Linked DNA regions of Solanum lycopersicum. The protein of the gene in region 2 binds, or shares a complex with, the protein of the main gene of each other region. Links are inferred from orthologs where the notes say so. Each region holds a gene or a part of one and is shown on either strand. Other genes may lie near its edges.

What was found.
Region 1: the proteins of ATP-dependent zinc metalloprotease FTSH 12, chloroplastic (region 2) and uncharacterized protein are in contact, whole or in part, in a cryo-EM structure (PDB 8XKU), measured with the Arabidopsis thaliana proteins. The link is inferred for Solanum lycopersicum from reciprocal best matches to the Arabidopsis thaliana genes FTSH12 and emb2737. Residues at the interface, in NP_565212.1 of Arabidopsis thaliana: Lys126, Asn127, Pro131, Ile134, Asn137, Lys138, Trp139, Trp142, Leu156, Ala160, Phe161, Leu163, Leu164, Cys167, Gln168, Tyr171, Met323, Glu327, Leu330, Val334, Ile335, Glu381, Asp382, Leu383, Leu404, Pro406, Tyr407, Phe409, Glu410, Cys413; in NP_001032071.1 of Arabidopsis thaliana: Thr82, Ile85, Ala86, Leu89, Lys92, Ser160, Ala161, Pro162, Leu163, Pro164, Ser165, Lys166, Ile195, Met196, Glu197, Pro198, Pro199, Ala202, Val205, Leu206, Met209, Tyr211, Pro212, His215, Ser224, Ile225, Phe228, Thr232, Leu233, Ile236.

The regions. Positions count from the first base shown.
Region 1 is NC_090811.1:5,240,474-5,244,987, reverse strand, and holds the start of uncharacterized protein, read right to left. Parts: upstream 3,114-4,514; 5' UTR 3,009-3,113; coding exon 2,784-3,008; intron 1,779-2,783; coding exon 1,714-1,778; intron 1,194-1,713; coding exon 1,095-1,193; intron 670-1,094; coding exon 537-669; intron 1-536.
Region 2 is NC_090801.1:59,801,800-59,806,098, reverse strand, and holds the start of ATP-dependent zinc metalloprotease FTSH 12, chloroplastic, read right to left. Parts: upstream 3,114-4,299; 5' UTR 2,913-3,113; coding exon 2,511-2,912; intron 2,436-2,510; coding exon 2,251-2,435; intron 1,420-2,250; coding exon 1,199-1,419; intron 298-1,198; coding exon 20-297; intron 1-19. UniProt on the Arabidopsis thaliana protein: Probable ATP-dependent zinc metallopeptidase.

The DNA.
Region 1 (4,514 bases), on a different chromosome or scaffold from region 2:
TTAAGAATAAAGAAAAAAAATACAATAATATATGTGCAGTCAAAGACTAATAATTCTAAAGCATGAATAACAAATCAATGGAAAAAGAAATTAAGATAAAGTAAATAATAATTGTGTAATGTTGCCTCTTCAGGATAACACTCATTGATAGGGAGAAGTATCAAGTATGCCTTGAAGCCTCAATCACTACACTGAAGCGCCCACTAAGCGAGGCAAAGTGCTCAGCATGTTTTGTGCGTCGCTTCAGGTCTTAACATGCTTCAGGCGAGCCTTTGACAACACTGAATGAAACTACAGATACATGCCACATAAATAACATGAGCCAAGTTGATTTCTGGTTAGGCTTGGCTTTACTTATTCAATAAGCCCTATTCTCAACTTGGCTTTCCATAACAAATGAAACTCTATATCTTTACCTTGGCATTTTGGATGGTTTCTCAAGCCAAAAGAACTACTGGCATGACTCACTCAGTTTATTTTCAGCCCTTAAGAAGCTATATTATGAAATTTGAAAAAATTGCCAAAACAGTTCTCACCGATCCATCACAACTGGGACATTCTTTAGATGGCAGTGGCAAGTGAAGGTCCACTGTGGAAGGAAGATGCACCAACTCAGCTCTGTTATCAGCTATCGCATCAGCAATGGATTCAGCTGTGGCTTTTTCTCCCCTGTATCAGTAATTTGGAAGCTTTAAATAGACATAAATATTCAGTGTGTTTGACATTATCTTCATGTCCCTAGAATAATTTATGATTTTTCAGAACTATGATGATTAATAACATAAAACAAGAAGAAGGTGGCTCAGTACACCAACATGATGATGGTGATGTTTTGAGCTACCAACAGCAATTACACGAGCCACTTTGATTGCCGAATCTGAATTAAGAAACCTGAAGACTAGAATGTGTTTTAACAGTCACATGGGACGTGGGAGAAGAAGAAGGTGAAAGCACTTCAGTATATCTTTTAAGAGTATGCAGTTCAGAATATGACAAAAACCATAATGTTGTTCTAGAAATTGGATTAATACATAAAATGTGAACAGGATGTTCATTTTAACAGCAAGAGTACAAGTTTATCAATGATTACCTACCTTTTCAATGTGTAGTTCTTCACTTGGTAATGCACTTTGCCTGATCCTTTGCACATTGTGCACTGCAACGCCTGCCACCCACAGCATGTCCGGCAGTCCCTGCAGTCAATGAACCAAGCATCTTCTTTCAATTACACATGTCATCACCTTACATATCAAGACATGCCAGTTGACTATAAATTTGACAAGCATTTCAGCTTCCCTTCAGTAAGCACAAATAAGATGCTCTCTCACTTTAACTTCAATTTGTGATTACCACATCAGCTTGTGCATAAGGACATCGAGACCACCAATGAGCACAGAAGACAAATATCTGATATCTATAAGACAAATATCTGATATCTATCGAGCTCATAGTCCATTTAAAGTAAAATATGGATTGAAAAACCAAACCTATGAAAGAATGTGAGCATTCAAACCTATTCCTTAAGGTAATGGATGGAGTTGCCTGATACCTTTAATCTTCGATGCCCTTTTACACACGATGTGCATATCAGCAAAAAAACAAAACTTTTGACATGGACCATTTATCAATTTCATTATTTCTAATATAAGACACTTCAACTTCAGGAATATAAATTCTAACAAAAGTAAACATGAGCTAAGACTATAAGGGCACCTCTGGCTGATCACCTTCTTTCCGAGCTCCATTGCAATGTCATAAGTACCCAGAGTAGCTACCACCTGCAGTAAAACACCAAATATCTCTGTTAGGAGAAACCTTCACTGAACAAATACTTTCAGCCTAAAAGTCGTTGTATTAATCTCCGGTCATCACCTCTCTTACATATTACTTGAAGACTCAATCCAGGGAATGCTGAAAAAAACTTCCTATTCATGGGATCCTAGTGATATATGAACAAACATTCAAAGACACAGTCGAGGCATTCCAGTGAAACATGAACATATATTGAATACCCAGTTCAGAAATTCTAACAACTAGACTGTTCCATTCATGGTCTCTCAGTGACATATGAACAAACATATAAAGACCCAAATCAGGAAGAAATGCAGACAACAATGCTTCTCAAGTTATGGACGAGAAAGTGTGGTGAGCTTCCAGTGATTTATGAACAACTAAATTAAAGCCCAGTTCATAAGACACTGACCATTGGTTCCCCCATTCAAGGCCTTTCAGTGAAACATGAACATATATTGGAAGACCCAATTCAGAAATTTAACAACTAGACTGTCCCATTCATGGTCTCTTAGTGACATATGAACAAAGACCAAATCCAGGAAGAGATGCAGACAATTATGCTTCTCCAGCAATGGACAATAAAGTCCGGTGAGCTTACAGTGACATTTACACTCATATTCATAAAACACCGGCAAACCGATCCCCCATTCGAAGCCTTTTCAGTGACACGTGAACATACATTTGAAGACCCAATTCAAAAATACTAACAAATAGACTGTCACATTCCTGGTCTCTCAGTAACATATAAACAAACACTTAACGAATCCAGTTCATAAAACACTGAAAACTACCTTCCCCGTTCAAGGCCTTTTCAGTGAAACACAAACATAAATTTAAACACCCAGTTCAGAAATTCTATCAAACATACTATCCCATTCACATCCTCTCAGTGACATATAAACAAACACTTAACGACCATTAAGTAAAAAAAAAAAAAAACAGAAAGTAACACTTCCCCAATTACATACAAGAAAGTGCGGTGAACTTACAAAGATGGTCGAATAAGAGAGCTTAGAGATGAATTCAGGTACACCGAAACCTCTCGGAGCAGAGCCGGCAATGTCATATGCAAGTGTAATAGGTGAAAGAACAAGCTTTATTGGAAATTCGAAAATGTCAATGAGTTGCTGTCCATAGCGGCTACTGAAGTACTTGTATTGAAGGTCAGTGAATTGCTTCAAATTCTTCAGTAAGCGATCAGTGCCTCGAGACATTGCTCAAACATTCAACTAGTTGAAGAAGAAGAAGAAGATGGAAAAAAGGATAAAGAGGGAGATAGGCGTATTTCAAGCTCAGTTGTGTAGGGATAGGATTTGGGAGTACCATTTTTTATTTTCTACTAATTTTTTTTTAAAATGAAAACGGAAATCCGCAATAGCTATTTTTGAATTTCGTATAGTGTAAAAAATTCTATTTTTATGCAATAGCTCATAAATCATTCGCGAATCACATATGAGAGTTGCCTAGTGCGACGGCAAATCTGTTGCTTTCACTGACAAAGAGTTTCGAACTTCGAAGAATTTATTGTATTATTAAGCGATGAAAATAACTTTTTGAAAAAATATGAGGTAGAAATATTTATATATAGTTTCATATGGAACATTTTTATGAATACAATTTCACTATAAAGTTTTAATAAAAATAGTTCTCACTTCAAAATATTTTGCAATTTTTATTTTAATTTTTAAGATGAATTACTTGATCGATGAATAACTTTAATACTACAGAATTTAAAAATATTTATGATTAACAACATGAGTCAATCGATACGTAATAAACTCATATCTTAAATTAATGTAACTAACATTTATTTTATAATAAGGTTATACATAAGACCAAATATTGCATAAACTATAAGAAAGCATAAATATCAAAGATTCTAGAAATTCGAGTGAATTAATTTATTTTTCGATTCTTTAATTAATCGAAAATTCAATTCTTCGATTCGATATTCAATGTGAGGATCAATATTCTTCGATGCAACGAATAGTCAAATTGTTTATTAAATATATTTAAAAATAATATTTATATTACATTTAATTACATATTTTGACCCAAAACATTTTTAATTTTGAAACTCAACCCATTTAAGAAGATTGGGAAAATATATAAATTGGTGTATTTTAATAAATAATTACTGGTTTTAACAATACTTTTTACTTATTACTATTTATAGTAACATTATGTTAAATATGCAATATGAATTAAAAGTGAATTATGTATGCAATATATATGAATTATAATTGTTTTTGAAATATATTATGCTTGTTTGATAAAAATTTGAGACATGGTTTTATAAATGTATTAAAACGTGTGATAAATGTATTATCCATCATTAAAATTTATATTATATGTAAATAATAAATTGTTCTTTGTAATATGTATTAAACTTTTATTATAAATGAATTAAAACTGATCTAATGAAAAAAAAATACTCCCTCTCTTCCTATTTAGCTGTCCACTTTAGAAAAAGACCCACATATTAAAATAACAATAATTAATATGGTGAAGTTATAATTTTACCCTTCTATAAACTGTAATTTTAAGAATTAAAATGTATAAATTTATAATTTTAACTTTAATTATAAGATAATTTAAAATATTTTATTTTAATTTTTTTATTCTTTCTTGACTTGTCAAAATGGACAAGTAAATAGAAATTTAAAAAAGAAAATATGGACATAAAAATATATTATGACTATAAATAATAAATATTTTTT
Region 2 (4,299 bases):
TGAGAAGATAAACATTTACCTCAGAAGTATCAAGTTTTTGAAGAAAATAGGTATAGGGAAGTTTCGGGCGATATCTCCACCATCTTTTCGAGATCCACAATGCCCTGGTTCCTTGAGTTTCTCTTGTCTTCTCAACAACATCTTTGCGAAGGCTGTTCTCAACTTCCTTCATGTCAAATTCAACCACATACCTCGCATTTACTGAATCTAATTGTTCTGCCATCTTCTCCTTCCTAAGAATTTTGTGCCATTCTTGAAGTCTTGCACGCCATGTTCCTCCCGTATCCTGATTTTCAGCTGCAAAAAGAAAAAGGATAAGAAATGCTTAAATAGACTACTAACATAATTTGGATTCACTTGGCAACTTAAAATGATTTTCTTTTACATAATTTAACAAAATTCATTTTTTTGCAGTGGATGCAAGTAAATTATGTAAAAAAATTGTTAATTTTTTACTTTTAACAAAATTCATTTTTAAAAAATTAACGTAATATATCATTTTTTTTATGAAGTAAGAGTTGTAATAAACTATTAATAACAAAGCATCCAGTGGATGCAAGAACTATAAAAGTGGAATAGGCAGCAGAAAGGAACTTATCATTAACATAATATATGAAATTATTTTGTTAGTGTAAACTTATTGAATTATTTATGTGATAGTCTATATAATAAAATTTTAACTTTTAATATAGTTTTCATATTTAATATATAGAAGTTTAAAATTTCTAACTCGTGTTTTCTTAAACGGTGACAACAAAGAGCGTTCTTTTGTCCAGCTGCTATTAGAAAACCAGAAAAACAAAATGCCCTCAAACTGATACACGGCATCACATCTACTTGTATCATGACTTTGCAGTAACTTTTCAACCTGCTTATGAAAAAACATGGGACAGCGACCAATTTCACTCACCTTTTAGAATACTGGTAAATATACATCCTCCCTCCCCTTCACCCAAACCAAAAAAGGGGAGAAGTCCACCCGTTCAAAAGTTTTACCATTACTAGGGGGAGCAAGAAAATATAAAAAATGAGCTTGCAGAGTGCAGCTTATTCATTTTAAAATAAAAATAAATTCGAAGATGATAAGATACTACTATAAAATTCTCATGCGTCTTTTTTTTTTTTAGAATGAAGGAAAAATGATGGAGGAGGATCGTTACGTACTTAAAAATAATGCAAGGTTAATAACAAAACTCACCTGAAATTCCAAGATTCTCTTTCAGAGTCTCTTTATCCTCTACTCTCAATCTACTATCATGGTCTATCACCTCTTTCATATTATGACTGCCAGAATCATCTGCCCAAGCATCTTCACCAACATAGGAACTGTCATGAATAAGAGTTCCATCTGCTGCTTCAATGAACTTCTTTAACTTTAGACCTTTGGGGGTCGTCTTCCTCCACAAACCTTTCTTGAATCTATAAGAATACATGTCCAAGAAAGGAGTTGAGAGATTACAAAACATCTTAGATCACTAATTGGATCAAGCAACAAGACATACTTGCATAAGGTGGCATGGGTAAATGTTTCCTCCTACTCATAAAACTGCATTGATTTGATTTTAGGATAATGGTGCAGATCAAACTAAAATCTAGAAATATTGAGCTTTTACCCCAGCTAAGAAAAGTTCAATGGTCAAGTAAGAGTCTGATCAAATCCTTAAAATATCAGAGAATCATTTGTCTCCATCATGGGACGTGCTTTGGAAAAGTCTTGTCATATGAAAAGACTGCTCCTCTTAAATTCCCCCAATCCATCACAAGATATAAAAACTTTGGAAAAGGTCGGAAGTACAGTGCACTGGGGATTAGTGGGGTCATGATTGTTTCTGTAAGGACTCTGAAAGGAGCAAAGGAGATTCGAGACACTATCCCGGCTTGTATCATGTGGATGTTATGTAAAAATGAAATGGTAGGTGTATTGAAAGAAAAGCTGAAACCATTCATAGGTATAAGTATTCCTACAAGTTTTTTAGGTAAACTAAAGGATGCTTACGAAGTGACTTAAGAATTTCCAAAGACATTGCAGCCATAATCTGTTTCCTATCTTATGTTTCTCAAATACTTCCTTGGAACTGGTTTAGTTTTTTATTCGTTTTTTATTAATAAAAACCTTTATCATCAAAAGAAAAGGTAGACAATTCAAGATGCACCTCAAACTGATCAAAAAATGACATCATATCAATCTCCGAGTATCAAGTATTCATAAAATAAAAATAAAAACAGTTAGCAGTTTGATTTGTGTTTTACCTTTTGACATTAACAGGAGTAGGTTCAGGAATCAATGCTTCCATGTATGCCTCAGTAAGTTCTTTTCTTTCCCTATTAATAATAGGAGCTCGAATTGCCATATATATTTTTTGACAAGAACATACCGTAACTATAATATAGAGAATGAATACACCAACTCTTTTGGAATCCCATTTCTTGACGTCCTGGGGGAAGGGGAAAAAGGATAATGTGAGCACAAAGTTATACAAATAACTCAAATAAGAAATGGGAAAATTCACCTTCCAGGACTCGAATTTGTTCCAATTCAAGAACTCAGGAAACAACTCAGACTGAAAACGTTGCAGCAAAACTTGGCCATTCTTGGCTGAATCAACAGCTCGACCTGAAAATTCCCCAACTTTAACTTTAACATCCTTAAAATCAAAACCCGTCTCTTGCTTCACAGAGTCTTCCAATTGATTCAAGAAACGTTCGGAACCACGGCGAATGGACTGTGAAAGTTGCAGCCAAGAAAACCCTTCAGGACTGTTATTAGTATTGGAAGAAGAAGCTACAATGGTAGGTCTTCTTATACGGGAAAACTTCCTTCTGCATTTGAATGGCAATGTGAGTAAAAGGGGTTTTGAAGATAATTGTATTGAATTCAGCTGTTGAGGAGGAGGAGTAGTGGTTAGATGCATTGAGAAGCTTAGAGAATACGAAGATAATGCTTCGGTTTCGGCTCTCTTGCTCGTCGGAAAAACTGAATTGTCGCCGGTCTTGGTCGTCGGAAAAACCGAATGGGGCTTTGGGGTTTTGTTAATTTTTTTTATATAGAGGTTTATCTGCAGGCTTTGATTTTCTTAAACCTTTTTTTTTTCCTTACGGCTAAAAGCAGTTCCAATTACAAGTTAAAATCATGAATTTTATAAATTTTAACTTCTACGTTTATTTATTATTTGTCATATAATAAGTAACACTTTATTATTATTTTGTCATATAATAAGTAACACTTTTTAATTTTATCAAAATATTATTCCCTCCGTCTCATTTTATACGTCATTTCTTTCTATAAATAGCTGAACAACAATAGTTGTCATTTTATAAAATTTATACATAACTTATCATATTTTATCTACGAAAAATGGCCTAAAATACCATTGAAGTATTGAAAATGGTACAAAATTACCCTTCATTTACCTATTGGCTCCAAAATGCTCTTCTCATACCTATACACTTTTTTGTTCAAAATTGACCACTTATTTAATTGTTTTAAAATTAAACTCTTTAAATATTTTTTAAGATCCTTGACGTTCAATTATTGGTTATAATTTAATTTATAAATCAACACACTACCCATTCATTGCTAACTAAACCCCACCCAACTAATAATCCAATTATAATATCAAAATCTTCATAAACACTACTAAAACACGATGAAAATATAGATTTCTGAAAAATAACATCCGAAATTATTCGAGTCCGAATTTAAGCCCCAATTAAATTTAGGTTGAGCCACTTATTTAGGATGAGACTTTCAATACGATTCTCTTTCAAGATTGAATTAGAAATTTATGATTAAAAATAAAGAAGTAATACATCCCGAAATAATTCATGCACTTTTTTAAAATATAATTTTATAAATATTTATGATTTGTTTTAAAACATTTAATATATTATTTTGAGAAAAAAGTTACCGATGAAGTAACATCACATAATTGAGACGTAAGAATAATTAAGATGAACATAGTCAGACTTTTTATCGGTAAATTTTTATTTAGACACTTAAATATATGATAATTTAGTACTATAGATATTTTCACCTCAAAATTCTAAAAACACTCAATTGGTTGTAGCTTTTCATTGGTTGTAGCTTTTCTGTTGTTTTATAAATTATACTAATAAGTTAAATTATAACAAATAGTTGAACATCATGTATTTAAAAAAAATATTTAAATAATTTAAATATAAAATCATTACATAAATTGTCAATTTTAAACCAAAATGTAAATGACATGGGTATTTTAAATCCAATAAATGGGCGAGAAGATATTTTGGAACCAATAAATGGATTTCCAATACTTTAAG